3 linked regions of the Arabidopsis thaliana genome follow. The protein of the gene in region 1 purifies or fractionates together with the protein of each later gene. This does not show direct contact. Each region holds a gene or a part of one and is shown in the gene's direction. Other genes may lie near its edges. The genes, in order: NRPA2, ELF7 and AT4G18060.

Region 1 (3,754 bases):
TTGATGACTAATTTCTAACTATTATATCACCTTACATTCTCAGAAGTTAAAAATAAAATGCATAAACTTTTTCAAATACAATCAGAATCGGTCAATCCGGTGACCGAAATCAATTATGATGTTTTTGAGAGTTCTGATTGAATTTTCAAAATCTACATCACTAGTTGGATAAAGGTGATTTTGATGGCTACCTTGTGATCATCATATCATCTGATACTCTTACTAGTTGGAAGCCAAAGATATAAACTCTCAAATACAAACGGAATCAGTCAAATCATATGGTCGAATAATAAATTATTATGTTTTGACACACCAAAGCCTAGCTACATGTACACTTGAGTTTATGTTGGTGAACGTCTTGATCACAAAATCTCACATACACAACATTGATGTCCAGCGTTAATGCGTTATACCCTTCTAGAGATCTAATTGGTGACACAAAATCTCACGTAGTGTAAGTCAGCAGAATGAATGCGTTTCAGAGCTAAGATCTTACATGTTCAAGCCAATGCTTTCGAGGAACGGTTTTTGTAGATCCAAGAAAGGAATAGAAGCTTTTATATATATGTCCAGACAAAAATATTGGATTTTAATTAACTATATATATATATATATATATTATGATCAAAATGGATAACTATAACTTATGCATGACAAAATAGATTCACAAGAGTAAGATACGTTTTTCTAAACTAGTACAGTATTTATGAGTTCTACAATATTATGCGAGCCATTGCAAGGTACAACATTACATACTAGTCTTACTGCATTTAAATGGTTTGGATGTGTATATCATTATGTTTATTGCATAATTTGATCATTTTGGATAGCTATGAATCGGCATTAGATTCATGTTAGCATTTGGATTACAACATAATTTTGGAATTGTGATATTTCAACGTTGGTATCATATTCGTAAAGGTATGATTATTGTAGAAAATATGAGATCTTATATAGATATCCTGATCCTCTCATTGTTGTTTCTAATGGGATGGAGATCCAACGTTGAATATGAGACTATGCTTCACACACAACACACAACTCACGACTCACGCAAAATATACTTACCCTTCTCCTATCGTAAATACTGTCCGACTAGTCACATAACATTTTTCAAACTTGCACGTCGAAAATTTTTCGAGGAAAAATCTATTGTTGTCTTCCCAAGGATCATCCAAACCATATAATTGCCTCATTGATGCATCTCCCAAACCAGAAGCTAAGAAAAAGGACCCGGATCGAAAGTTTTAGTTAATTTTGTTTTATAACGGTCAAATTGTCTGATCGCGCTCATCCATAAGACCATAACCATAATCCAACATACACGACATTCCCCAAACGAAAAATCTTCGGCATAATTCAACCACTCGGTGGATCCCAAAAAATCAGTTTCGAACAGTATGTATAGATACACACTTTTAAACTTATATCTTGCAAAACAAACAAACACATCATCCAATATATCATCAATACACGAAAGTTTCACTTAACTAGCTTTAGTAGCAAATCAATTTTGCTCTTTTTAAAAATGTGATATAATAGTATTTTTATTTTATACCTGTTCGATCTTGATTAACGTTGTTTTAGTGAGCTTAAACACCAAATATCGTTAAGGTTCAATAGAGAAATTCACCAAAAAATAGTAAAAATCCGTATCCAATCTCGTTCGAAAAATTATTAAGAATTAAGGGTTCGAAATATAAACATTTTAAAGATGAGGATTATATCTGCAATAAACTTGAAAGTTATCGACAACCAGTAAAACCCAAACTCAATAAACTCCTAAAACCCTTTCCCTTTTTTCTCGCGCCGCCTTCTCTCTCAGACTTCTCCGCCTCTCCATCAATTTCCTCAGGCAAGAAAAAGCTCCTCCGAAACCCTAATTTCAGCTTCCTCAAACCTCAGAACCGGCCTAGCTTGAGAGCAAACCTTAAATCATGGTTGTGAACGCGAAAGACTCGACGGTTCCAACGATGGAAGACTTCAAGGAGCTTCACAATCTCGTTACTCATCATATAGAGTCTTTCGATTACATGACACTGAAAGGACTCGATGTTATGTTCAATCGAATCAAACCCGTTTCTGTTTACGATCCAAACACCGAGAATGAATTGAGCAATATCCTTTTTTTTTTTGTGTTGAATTTACTCTATGGCTCTTGTAATGTTCAATTTTTGTTTGTGTTGTGTCTGATTTCCTTGACAAGTATGATACTTTGGTTAGAAAATCCTCTAGTATTTGCTCCACAGAAGGAGAGTTTTAAATCAACATCAAGGAAAGAGCCTTTGCTTCCCTTTGAGGTGAAGTTTTTTTGTTTTGAACATGTTTCCGAGGTTTATATATTTTGTTGGTGTGTTAGTAACTTTGGTTTTGGTTTAATGAATAACAGTGTAGGCAAGCGAAGATTTCGTACACAGGAACGTTTATGGCTGATGTTTGCTTTAAGTATAATGATGGAGTCGTTGTTAGAGACAAGTTTGATTTTGGGCAATTTCCTATTATGCTCATGGTGAGTGTGATCTGTTTATTTGATTTCGCTATTGTTTATTTTTACTTTGATTCTGTTCCTGAAGATATGACTATTCCCAAAGCGAGAGTCACTTCTATGGCTGGATGCTTTAATTTGTACATTTGGTTCTTATAACTGATAATGGAACAAAGCTTAGCTCAATGATTTATCTTCTTGACTTTGCTTATGATTACAAGTCTTTGTTTATGAGCTAATAGAAATTGATATCCGTACTTTATTGCAGTCAAAGCTTTGTAGCTTAAAGGGTGCTGATTGCCGGAAACTGTTAAAGTGTAAAGAGTCAACTTCTGAAATGGGAGGGTAAATGTTCTTCCACCTCTTATACCTTATGATAAAGCCACTGTGAGGCTTGTGGTTAATATGTGATTTTGTGTCTGTGGATTTTTTTTCTAAACTGTATTTTTGTGAAGCATGACAGCTATGTTTATAGCAATGGAAACTGGGGTGTGATTAAAAACATCTGTTTTGTCTATGCATTCATGTTGCTCTTGATATATCTTCCCTTCTATAAGTCGATCATGATAAATTTTAGCTTTTCTTGAAATAGGTACTTTATTTTGAATGGGATTGAGAGAGTGTTTCGATGTGTTATTGCACCAAAGCGGAACCATGTAAGCTACCTCGCCTTTTAACTGACTAAGTTCATGAGTATAGTGTTTTGCTTATAAAGTTTATGGGTATAGTGTATTCCCATGAAGTTCCTTGTATCATAATTTAACTGACTAAGAATCTCTTATAATAGCCAACAAGTATGATTCGGAACTCATTCCGTGATCGTAAGGAAGGATACTCTAGCAAGGCAGTTGTCACTAGGTATTTGAAGTTTATCTCTTCCTTATGTGTTGCATATAGTAATGCCAATCTTCCCCTAAAGTGGCAATAGATCTTAAAGAGTTCTTCATGCGGTTCTTTTTTCTTAATTCTTAGGTGTGTTAGGGACGACCAGTCATCTGTTACTGTTAAACTGTATTATCTTCGCAATGGAAGTGCCAGAGTTGGATTTTGGTAAGTGTTAACTTTTGATGTTGGAATGTGGATGACATTTCCTACAATTTGAGCTACAGGTTAACTTTATTTCTAATGGACACAGGATAGTGGGAAGGGAATATTTGCTTCCTGTCGGCCTTGTTCTCAAGGTATGGTCTTAGTGACTCTATGAATCTGTCTTCTGTAGCATAAGAACATTAATTTTTTAAAGGCGAAATGTTTTGAGATTCTTTTATT
Region 2 (3,754 bases), about 20 Mb from region 1:
TTGTCTACAACAATAGCCCCGTGCTAGATTTATTGAGAAAGTTAACAGGCGGGCAAGATATTATCCGAAGCGGTGTCACAAGGTCTGTCTCCAATTTTCTATCATTACAGTCAATGATGAAACAAAAGGCAAGGCTAAAACACATGTTCAATTGCCCAGAGTATACCACAAATACTAACAAACCACAGAGCATTTCATGCGTGAATATCCTAGAGGATAATGATTTCTGGAGAGCTGTGGAAGAAAGTGTGGCTATTTCCGAGCCTATCCTGAAAGTGTTGAGGGAAGTTTCTACTGGAAAGCCCGCTGTAGGTTCTATATACGAGTTAATGTCCAAGGCCAAGGAGTCAATACGGACATACTACATCATGGATGAGAATAAGCATAAGGTCTTTTCTGACATAGTTGATACTAACTGGTGTGAGCATTTGCATTCACCTCTTCATGCAGCAGCAGCATTCTTGAACCCCAGTATTCAGTATAACCCAGAGATAAAGTTCCTCACTTCCTTGAAAGAAGATTTTTTCAAAGTGTTGGAGAAACTTCTTCCTACTAGCGATCTACGGCGTGATATTACAAATCAGATATTCACTTTCACTAGGGCAAAGGGAATGTTCGGCTGTAACCTGGCCATGGAGGCGAGGGATTCAGTTTCACCAGGTATGGACAATAAATACATTTATATTTTCTTTAAGTCATGACTAGTGAACAGAGATGTATAGGTAGTCTGAGTCGGGAGAAAAATAATCCACTTATCTATGACCGCAATTAAAGCTATGGTCTTATTACACAACTAAATAAGTCCAGGTTGATATAGCCTGGCACGTAGTAAACCGAATTGCAAAACTAGTAGATATCTTCCCCTCACCAGGCTATTAGGGGTATGGTCTGGGATCTTTAGAATTGGTAACGAAGCACTAGAAGACTAGAAGTTGATGTCTAATAATGGTTTGCTTAGTAATGCAGGTCTCTGGTGGGAGCAGTTTGGTGACTCAGCACCTGTTTTGCAGCGGGTGGCCATCAGAATACTAAGCCAAGTTTGCAGCGGTTACAACTTGGAACGCCAATGGAGCACATTCCAGCAGATGCACTGGGAAAGGCGAAACAAGATTGACAGAGAAATATTGAACAAGTTGGCGTACGTGAATCAGAATCTAAAGTTAGGGAGGATGATAACCTTGGAGACAGACCCAATTGCCCTGGAGGACATTGACATGATGTCGGAGTGGGTGGAAGAGGCAGAGAATCCCAGTCCTGCCCAGTGGCTTGACCGTTTTGGGACCGCCCTTGATGGAGGCGACTTGAACACCAGGCAGTTTGGCGGTGCTATTTTCAGTGCCAACGACCATAACATCTTCGGCTTGTGAAGTCCTGGTAAGAGGTTTTCATAAGTTGGTCCAGCGTGTTGAGTGTTTAACCACACACCTCGGTTCGCTATACTGTACATAATGTTTGAGTAATTATCAATGTAGAAAATAAATATTTTGTGTTCCTCACACAGTCACACGTCGATGAGCTTGGTGGTACAAAGCATGTTTCGTTCATATTTGGGATTCATAAAACGGTGAGCTTAAGATTGTTTTTGTTTGTATTGAAGCCGTAATTATCAGAACCCATATGATAGTAGCGGTTATTGGGCCGCTAGTGAGGCCCAAATTAAAGTAAAAAGGAAAAATCAGTCTGACCGGAGCTATATAATTAATATATATCAAGAAGACTCGTTTTAGTTGGTTTAGGTGATTCAGATCACAAAGTACACCGAGAATGGCGTCGTACCGGCCGCCGTATCCTCCTCTTCCTCAGCCACCATCTCAAAATTCTTTGGCCCCTCCGCCTCCCCCGCCGTCGTTACCCCCTCCTGTTCCTCCCCCACCACCGTCGCATCAACCGTACTCATATCCTCCGCCGCCGCCTCCTCCTCCGCATGCTTACTATCAGCAGGGGCCCCACTATCCTCAATTCAACCAGCTCCAAGCTCCTCCTCCTCCGCCACCTCCCTCAGCTCCTCCTCCGCTCGTTCCCGATCCTCCTCGACACCAGGGTCCCAATGACCACGAGAAAGGGGCCTCCAAGCAGGTTGGAAGGCGGGAGCGTGCTAAACCGGATCCATCGAAGCACCACCACAGGTCTCATCTTCCTCATTCTAAGAAAATCGAGACCGAAGAAGAGAGGAGGCTTAGGAAGAAGAGGGAGTTAGAGAAACAAAGGCAAGACGAAAAACATAGACAGCAGATGAAAAATTCTCACAAGTCTCAGATGCCCAAGGGACACACCGAGGAGAAGAAGCCGACGCCCCTACTCACCACCGACAGGGTCGAGAATAGGTTAAAGAAACCAACCACCTTCATCTGCAAGCTCAAGTCAGTATTCTTCAAACGACTACCTAAATCTTTTTTACATATTATTGTTAGACTCTGATATTCATCTTCTTCTTCAAGGTTCCGGAATGAGCTCCCTGACCCTAGTGCACAGCTTAAGCTTATGACCATTAAACGGGATAAAGATCAGTATGTTTCTCTATTATTGCCAAATTTTATTTCTGTGTTATTCTACTGTCCTTACTTGCCAGCTATTTTGATCCCACTAGATTTACAAAGTATACCATCACATCCCTGGAGAAATTATGGAAACCAAAAATCTTTGTCGAGCCTGATCTTGGAATACCCTTGGATCTGCTTGACCTAAGTGTGTACAAGTATGTGCTCTCAATAAAGTCTTAGTGTCTTTAATGCCAGCGACCTCATCTACTGGGGATACTTACTGTTGTAGCTCTTTTCAGCCCTCCCAAAGTCAAGGCACCTCTTGCCCCTGAAGATGAAGAACTCTTGCGTGATGATGACGCTGTTACACCTATTAAGAAAGATGGCATCCGGAGGAAAGAAAGACCTACTGATAAAGGCATGTCTTGGCTCGTCAAAACACAATACATTTCTTCTATTAATAACGAATCGGCAAGACAGGTATCTATCCATCTCGCTTGTTGGAAATTTGTTTTGCCATGTATAGCTTCTAGAGACAGTTTCCAATTTCCTATGTTTACCTTGTGTAGTCGCTAACGGAGAAGCAAGCAAAGGAACTGCGAGAGATGAAAGGAGGCATCAACATCTTGCACAATCTTAACAATAGGTGTGTTGTTTCTCAAATATGTGTATTTCTAAGGAAAGTGAGAAAAAAAAAGGTCTAATGGTTTATTTTTCTTTGGTCTCTAGAGAGAGACAAATCAAGGATATTGAAGCATCCTTTGAGGCATGCAAGTCTCGACCAGTTCATGCCACCAATAAAAACTTGCAGCCGGTTGAAGTTCTACCACTGTTGCCATATTTTGATAGGTTGGATGCTCTTTATTTCCCCTTGCAGACAATCTTAAATCTGAAATACCGAATCAGGCAAAATTTTCTCATAATAGTCCTACATGTAGACACAGCTTGAAAGCTGACACTTTACAGATTATCTTTATGTTGGCTCTCTCTGAAGGATCTCCTGTGGTCGGAAACATGCACGAATAGTTTTCCTATAGGATAGTGTAATCAATCGGGTGGGAAAATAGGCAGCCTTGTTAAGGTCTAACTATACAACACTTAAGAGAGATGTTGGGTCTTTAATTTTTCCCTTTTCTCTGCTCCAACTCTTGTTCAAATGTTTCTTTGCTAGGGTTTTAGTGTATTGCCTTTTGGATGAAACATCCACTAATAATTTTCACTGAACCTGTAGCATACTATGCTATTACATTTGACTCTCCCCTTCCTTTTTTGAC
Region 3 (3,754 bases), on another chromosome or scaffold:
ATCATCACCAGTCTTCTTATCATCATCTATCTTCTTGACTTCCCGTGACTCATCATCCGAGCTGGAGCTGCTGCTGCTGCTGCTACTACTACTGCTGCTACTAGAGCTCTTGTCATGATCATGGCTTGAATCAGTGATCTCTATGCGTTCATTAACACCATCATCGCTCTCCTTGTCACCTTGGCTTCTCGAATCTAGCACATCAGTTTACAAATCCAATCAATATCACAAACAGAGTGACTTAACACTGACTATTCAAGTCAAATCTAACTATTGTACCATCCAGAGAATGAAACATATACTAGTAAACAAAATAGGCACAGCTACTACTAATGAAACCAAAGCATCAGAGATAAACAAAACTCAGCAAATGATAAACAACTTCAATCATAATCATGAATCTGATAAACAAAACTATCCTTTAGTCCAAAACAGAAAACTAGATTCAACCCATATGGATTACGAAGCAGAACATGCTAAAATTAACCGAAAGATCAAATTTTTACAGCTTGAGATCCCAAAATTGTGAGCCTAAAACCCCAATCAAAACACAAAGAAGAGTAAAAAAGATACCCATTTGTTTAGATCAATGAGCACAAAACCATAAAAATCAAAACTTGAAGAAACTATACAGAGAACAAAGTTAAAAAAAAACTCAGATTTAAAGCGAAGCAAATATATAAACAAACAAGAAAGGTGGCCTAAACGTGTGTGGTGTGAGTGAATAATTGAGAGATACAGAGAGACAACAACAAGAAGAAAAAGGCAAAAAGAAGAAAGTAGTAGTGAGATTATGGGGTGTTAAAAGAATTAAAAACCATGGTTGTTGGATTTGAGGTTGATTAGAGTAGAAGATCCTTGTTGTTGTTGTTCTTCCTCTTGCTTTTTCTTGGCAGCTTTCCTTTTCTTAGCACCTGAAGGCATGATTTAGGCTAGGCTCCTTTGGTGGGGATCGATCTCAAAAACAGCTATGGCGGATCGTGGCTTTTGTCTCTTTGATTTCTCTCTGTTAAAATATAATGGCGTCTTCTTTTCTGTCGAGCCGTAAATGTTTCAAAACTCAAATTGGTGGAAGTGGGAAAGTTTTAGATTCTTCTTATACATACATGTGAAAGGGTTTCTGAGTTTTATTGCTTTTTTTTAACTGTAAAATCACTAATTGATCTTCTTGTAATTTTGTTTCCGCGTTTGTTTCGTTTATTTTCCGCGTTTGGTTTACTAATTTAGCTATTAACGAAATAGTATAATGGATAGAGATTATTTTTGTAAAGTTTGTTCAAACAAAATCATCTTTACAACTTGATTGTGTTATAGATAAATTAAAACAAAAAAATGTTGTCATTCAGTACTTTAGATACCAATATACATTTGTCTTTTGGTTGACTATAATTTGATTTAAGTTTACATCAACAATAGAACCCTGTTTTAAGAACATGGAATTTAATGAAATATCTCACTGAAATTTTAAGTCGGTAGAGTAGGAATCTATACTATACTGAGAAAGGCAACGTTAATAATAAAATAAAAGAAAAAGTATATAGGTTGTCTTTTCAGATTATAATTATGTAATGGCAGTTAGGACAAAATGATATGGGAGGAGTGGGGACAAATAACAAGTGGTTATGAGTTGTCCATGTCAGTTTTTTTGTTAATACCTATACTTTTAAGTTTTAATTAACTTAATCTCAGTTTATGCCAAACGGATTTAGCTAATTTTAATTAATTACTCAATAATAATCGTAAGTCGTAACGTAAGGTTTTTAGTAGAAAAGCCTCGTCTGCTTCCAAATAATTCAATCGCGAACGCTCCTTTTAATCAGACCGGACCGGACCGGTTTGGTTCAATCAATCGAATCGACCCGACCCGCTTAGATCGATGTGTGTGCTCTGTGATTGACTGATTTTCTCAGAGGGATAATCAGTGACACATCGAGTCGAAGAAGAACATACATTTCTACTGAATCAGATCTGATCTGCTTTGTCAGTTTTTAAACTGTTCTGATCTAATTGAGATTTCTCAATTCCACTCAAAATCCTTTAAAGCTTGTCTCTTTTTGGTATCTCTGAATCAATTTGGGGAAATCAAGAGGAGAAGTGACAATGGATGCGTTTAGAAGACAAGCGAGTAAGCTTAGAGACCAAGTCGCAAAGCAGCAACTGGTAATTCCTTTTCATCGCCGCAACTAGTTTCACTGTTACCGATTCAGCGAAACGAAGCTCAATTTAGGTTCTTTGTTGCTAATTTGGATTAAAAAAAATGGAAACTTTTTGATGGGTTTTGATTTGTATATTATTGAGTATTATAGAGTTACACAATCTTGGTTGTGATGATGTGTTGATTGATGTGTGGTAATGGGGAATGTAGGCTGTGATAAAGCAATTCAGTGGGACTGGTTATGAAAGCTCAGATGTAATGGTGATTGATGAGCTTGAAATGCAAAGGCATCATCAACTCGATAAACTTTACCGCTCTACTCGTTCTGCAAAGGTTTGACTGATATTGACCTAATGGCATTGTCACATTTTATATGAGTTCATTGTTGGGGGAGAAGGTTTCAGTATGATTCATCGTAGCACAATACCCTCAAACATATGTTATTGTCACTTTCAGGAGTTCCAGAGAGATATTGTTAAAGCAGCTGAGGCATTTACCACGATCGGGCTCAGACACATTGAAGCAGGTACTTAACTACTTATGAGTGTCTGTTTTGTGTTACCTATCATTGAATTAAGTTATACTATGATACTTTTGTGAGTTTTCTTTTAATATTCTTTAAAATTTCAGGAACCAAGTTGTCTGAAGACTGTTGTAGGTATGGGAACGAAAATAGTCAGAACATTGATGAGAATATACTGGCCAAGGCTGCAGCTATATACGGTGATGCACGGAAACATGTAGACAAAGAACAAGAAGACTTCAACAAGCTTTTGGCTTCTCAGGTTCGGCTTGGATTATCTGTGTTTAATCTTAGTATGTTTACGTAGAATTAAATCTAGTAGATAACAAGAGAAAACCTTTTTGTTAAATGCCGTTAAGGTTTTGGATCCTCTAAGAGCTATGGTTGCCGGTTCTCCTCTTGAAGATGCTCGTCATCTTGCTCAACGTTACAGCCGCATGAGACAAGAAGCAGAGACACATGTAATCATCTTAAGATCTTAGTTCTATGATGATGTTGGCTATTTTATTTTGTAATGTAAGTTAAAACTTAAAAGCAAAACAGGCAACGGAAGTCTCTAGACGGCAAGCACGTGTAAGAGAAGCTCCGATTCCAGAAAACGTAGCAAAGCTTCAACTAGCGGAAGCAAAAATGCAAGAGCTAAAAGCAAATATGGCAGTCCTTGGTAAAGAAGCAACTGCTGCATTAGCCGCTGTTGAATCACAGCAACATAGACTCACTTTCCAGAGGCTTGTGGCTATGGTATGTTTTACATACACACACACTGGATTTTTTTGTCATATGCAGATTACTATTTACCTTATCGCTTATTCTAGGTTGAAGGGGAGAAGAATTATCACTTAAGAATAGCAGCCATCCTCAGTGACATTGAAGCCGAGGTTAGTATTGGATGAATCTTTCCCACATCTTTTTCTCATCAAAGGCTCACACTTTTGGTCTTACCGCGTAGATGGTAACCGAGAAACAACACAAAGAATCTGCTCCTCCTGCGATTCCAACAGAGAACGGCTCAGAGAAAACGTCATACTTTCTTGCTGAAGTAAGTTTTATCTTCCGTAATATTATCATCGCATATC

The links.
Region 2: the proteins of NRPA2 (region 1) and ELF7 fractionate together in Arabidopsis thaliana (co-fractionation; one large-scale study listed by BioGRID). This does not show direct contact.
Region 3: the proteins of NRPA2 (region 1) and AT4G18060 fractionate together in Arabidopsis thaliana (co-fractionation; one large-scale study listed by BioGRID). This does not show direct contact.

What each region holds. Positions count from the first base shown.
Region 1 is NC_003070.9:10,484,854-10,488,607, reverse strand, and holds the start of NRPA2 (nuclear RNA polymerase A2), read left to right. Parts: upstream 1-1,783; 5' UTR 1,784-1,937; coding exon 1,938-2,118; intron 2,119-2,214; coding exon 2,215-2,300; intron 2,301-2,389; coding exon 2,390-2,509; intron 2,510-2,753; coding exon 2,754-2,830; intron 2,831-3,077; coding exon 3,078-3,141; intron 3,142-3,272; coding exon 3,273-3,343; intron 3,344-3,457; coding exon 3,458-3,535; intron 3,536-3,620; coding exon 3,621-3,666; intron 3,667-3,754. UniProt on the Arabidopsis thaliana protein: DNA-dependent RNA polymerase catalyzes the transcription of DNA into RNA using the four ribonucleoside triphosphates as substrates. Second largest core component of RNA polymerase I which synthesizes ribosomal RNA precursors.
Region 2 is NC_003070.9:30,001,980-30,005,733, reverse strand, and holds the start of ELF7 (hydroxyproline-rich glycoprotein family protein), read left to right. Parts: upstream 1-1,650; 5' UTR 1,651-1,764; coding exon 1,765-2,360; intron 2,361-2,438; coding exon 2,439-2,507; intron 2,508-2,587; coding exon 2,588-2,695; intron 2,696-2,779; coding exon 2,780-2,960; intron 2,961-3,049; coding exon 3,050-3,126; intron 3,127-3,209; coding exon 3,210-3,329; intron 3,330-3,754. Other genes in the region: AT1G79740 (hAT transposon superfamily), read left to right, coding at 1-660, 967-1,367. UniProt on the Arabidopsis thaliana protein: Component of the PAF1 complex (PAF1C) which is involved in histone modifications such as methylation on histone H3 'Lys-4' (H3K4me3). Involved in regulation of flowering time.
Region 3 is NC_003075.7:10,028,009-10,031,762, reverse strand, and holds the start of AT4G18060 (SH3 domain-containing protein), read left to right. Parts: upstream 1-1,729; 5' UTR 1,730-2,100; coding exon 2,101-2,160; intron 2,161-2,365; coding exon 2,366-2,488; intron 2,489-2,611; coding exon 2,612-2,681; intron 2,682-2,785; coding exon 2,786-2,940; intron 2,941-3,037; coding exon 3,038-3,139; intron 3,140-3,221; coding exon 3,222-3,419; intron 3,420-3,493; coding exon 3,494-3,556; intron 3,557-3,627; coding exon 3,628-3,717; intron 3,718-3,754. Other genes in the region: AT4G18070 (suppressor), read right to left, coding at 1-194, 819-924. UniProt on the Arabidopsis thaliana protein: May be involved in the recruitment of DRP2A to the accessory protein complex and in the negative regulation of its GTPase activity.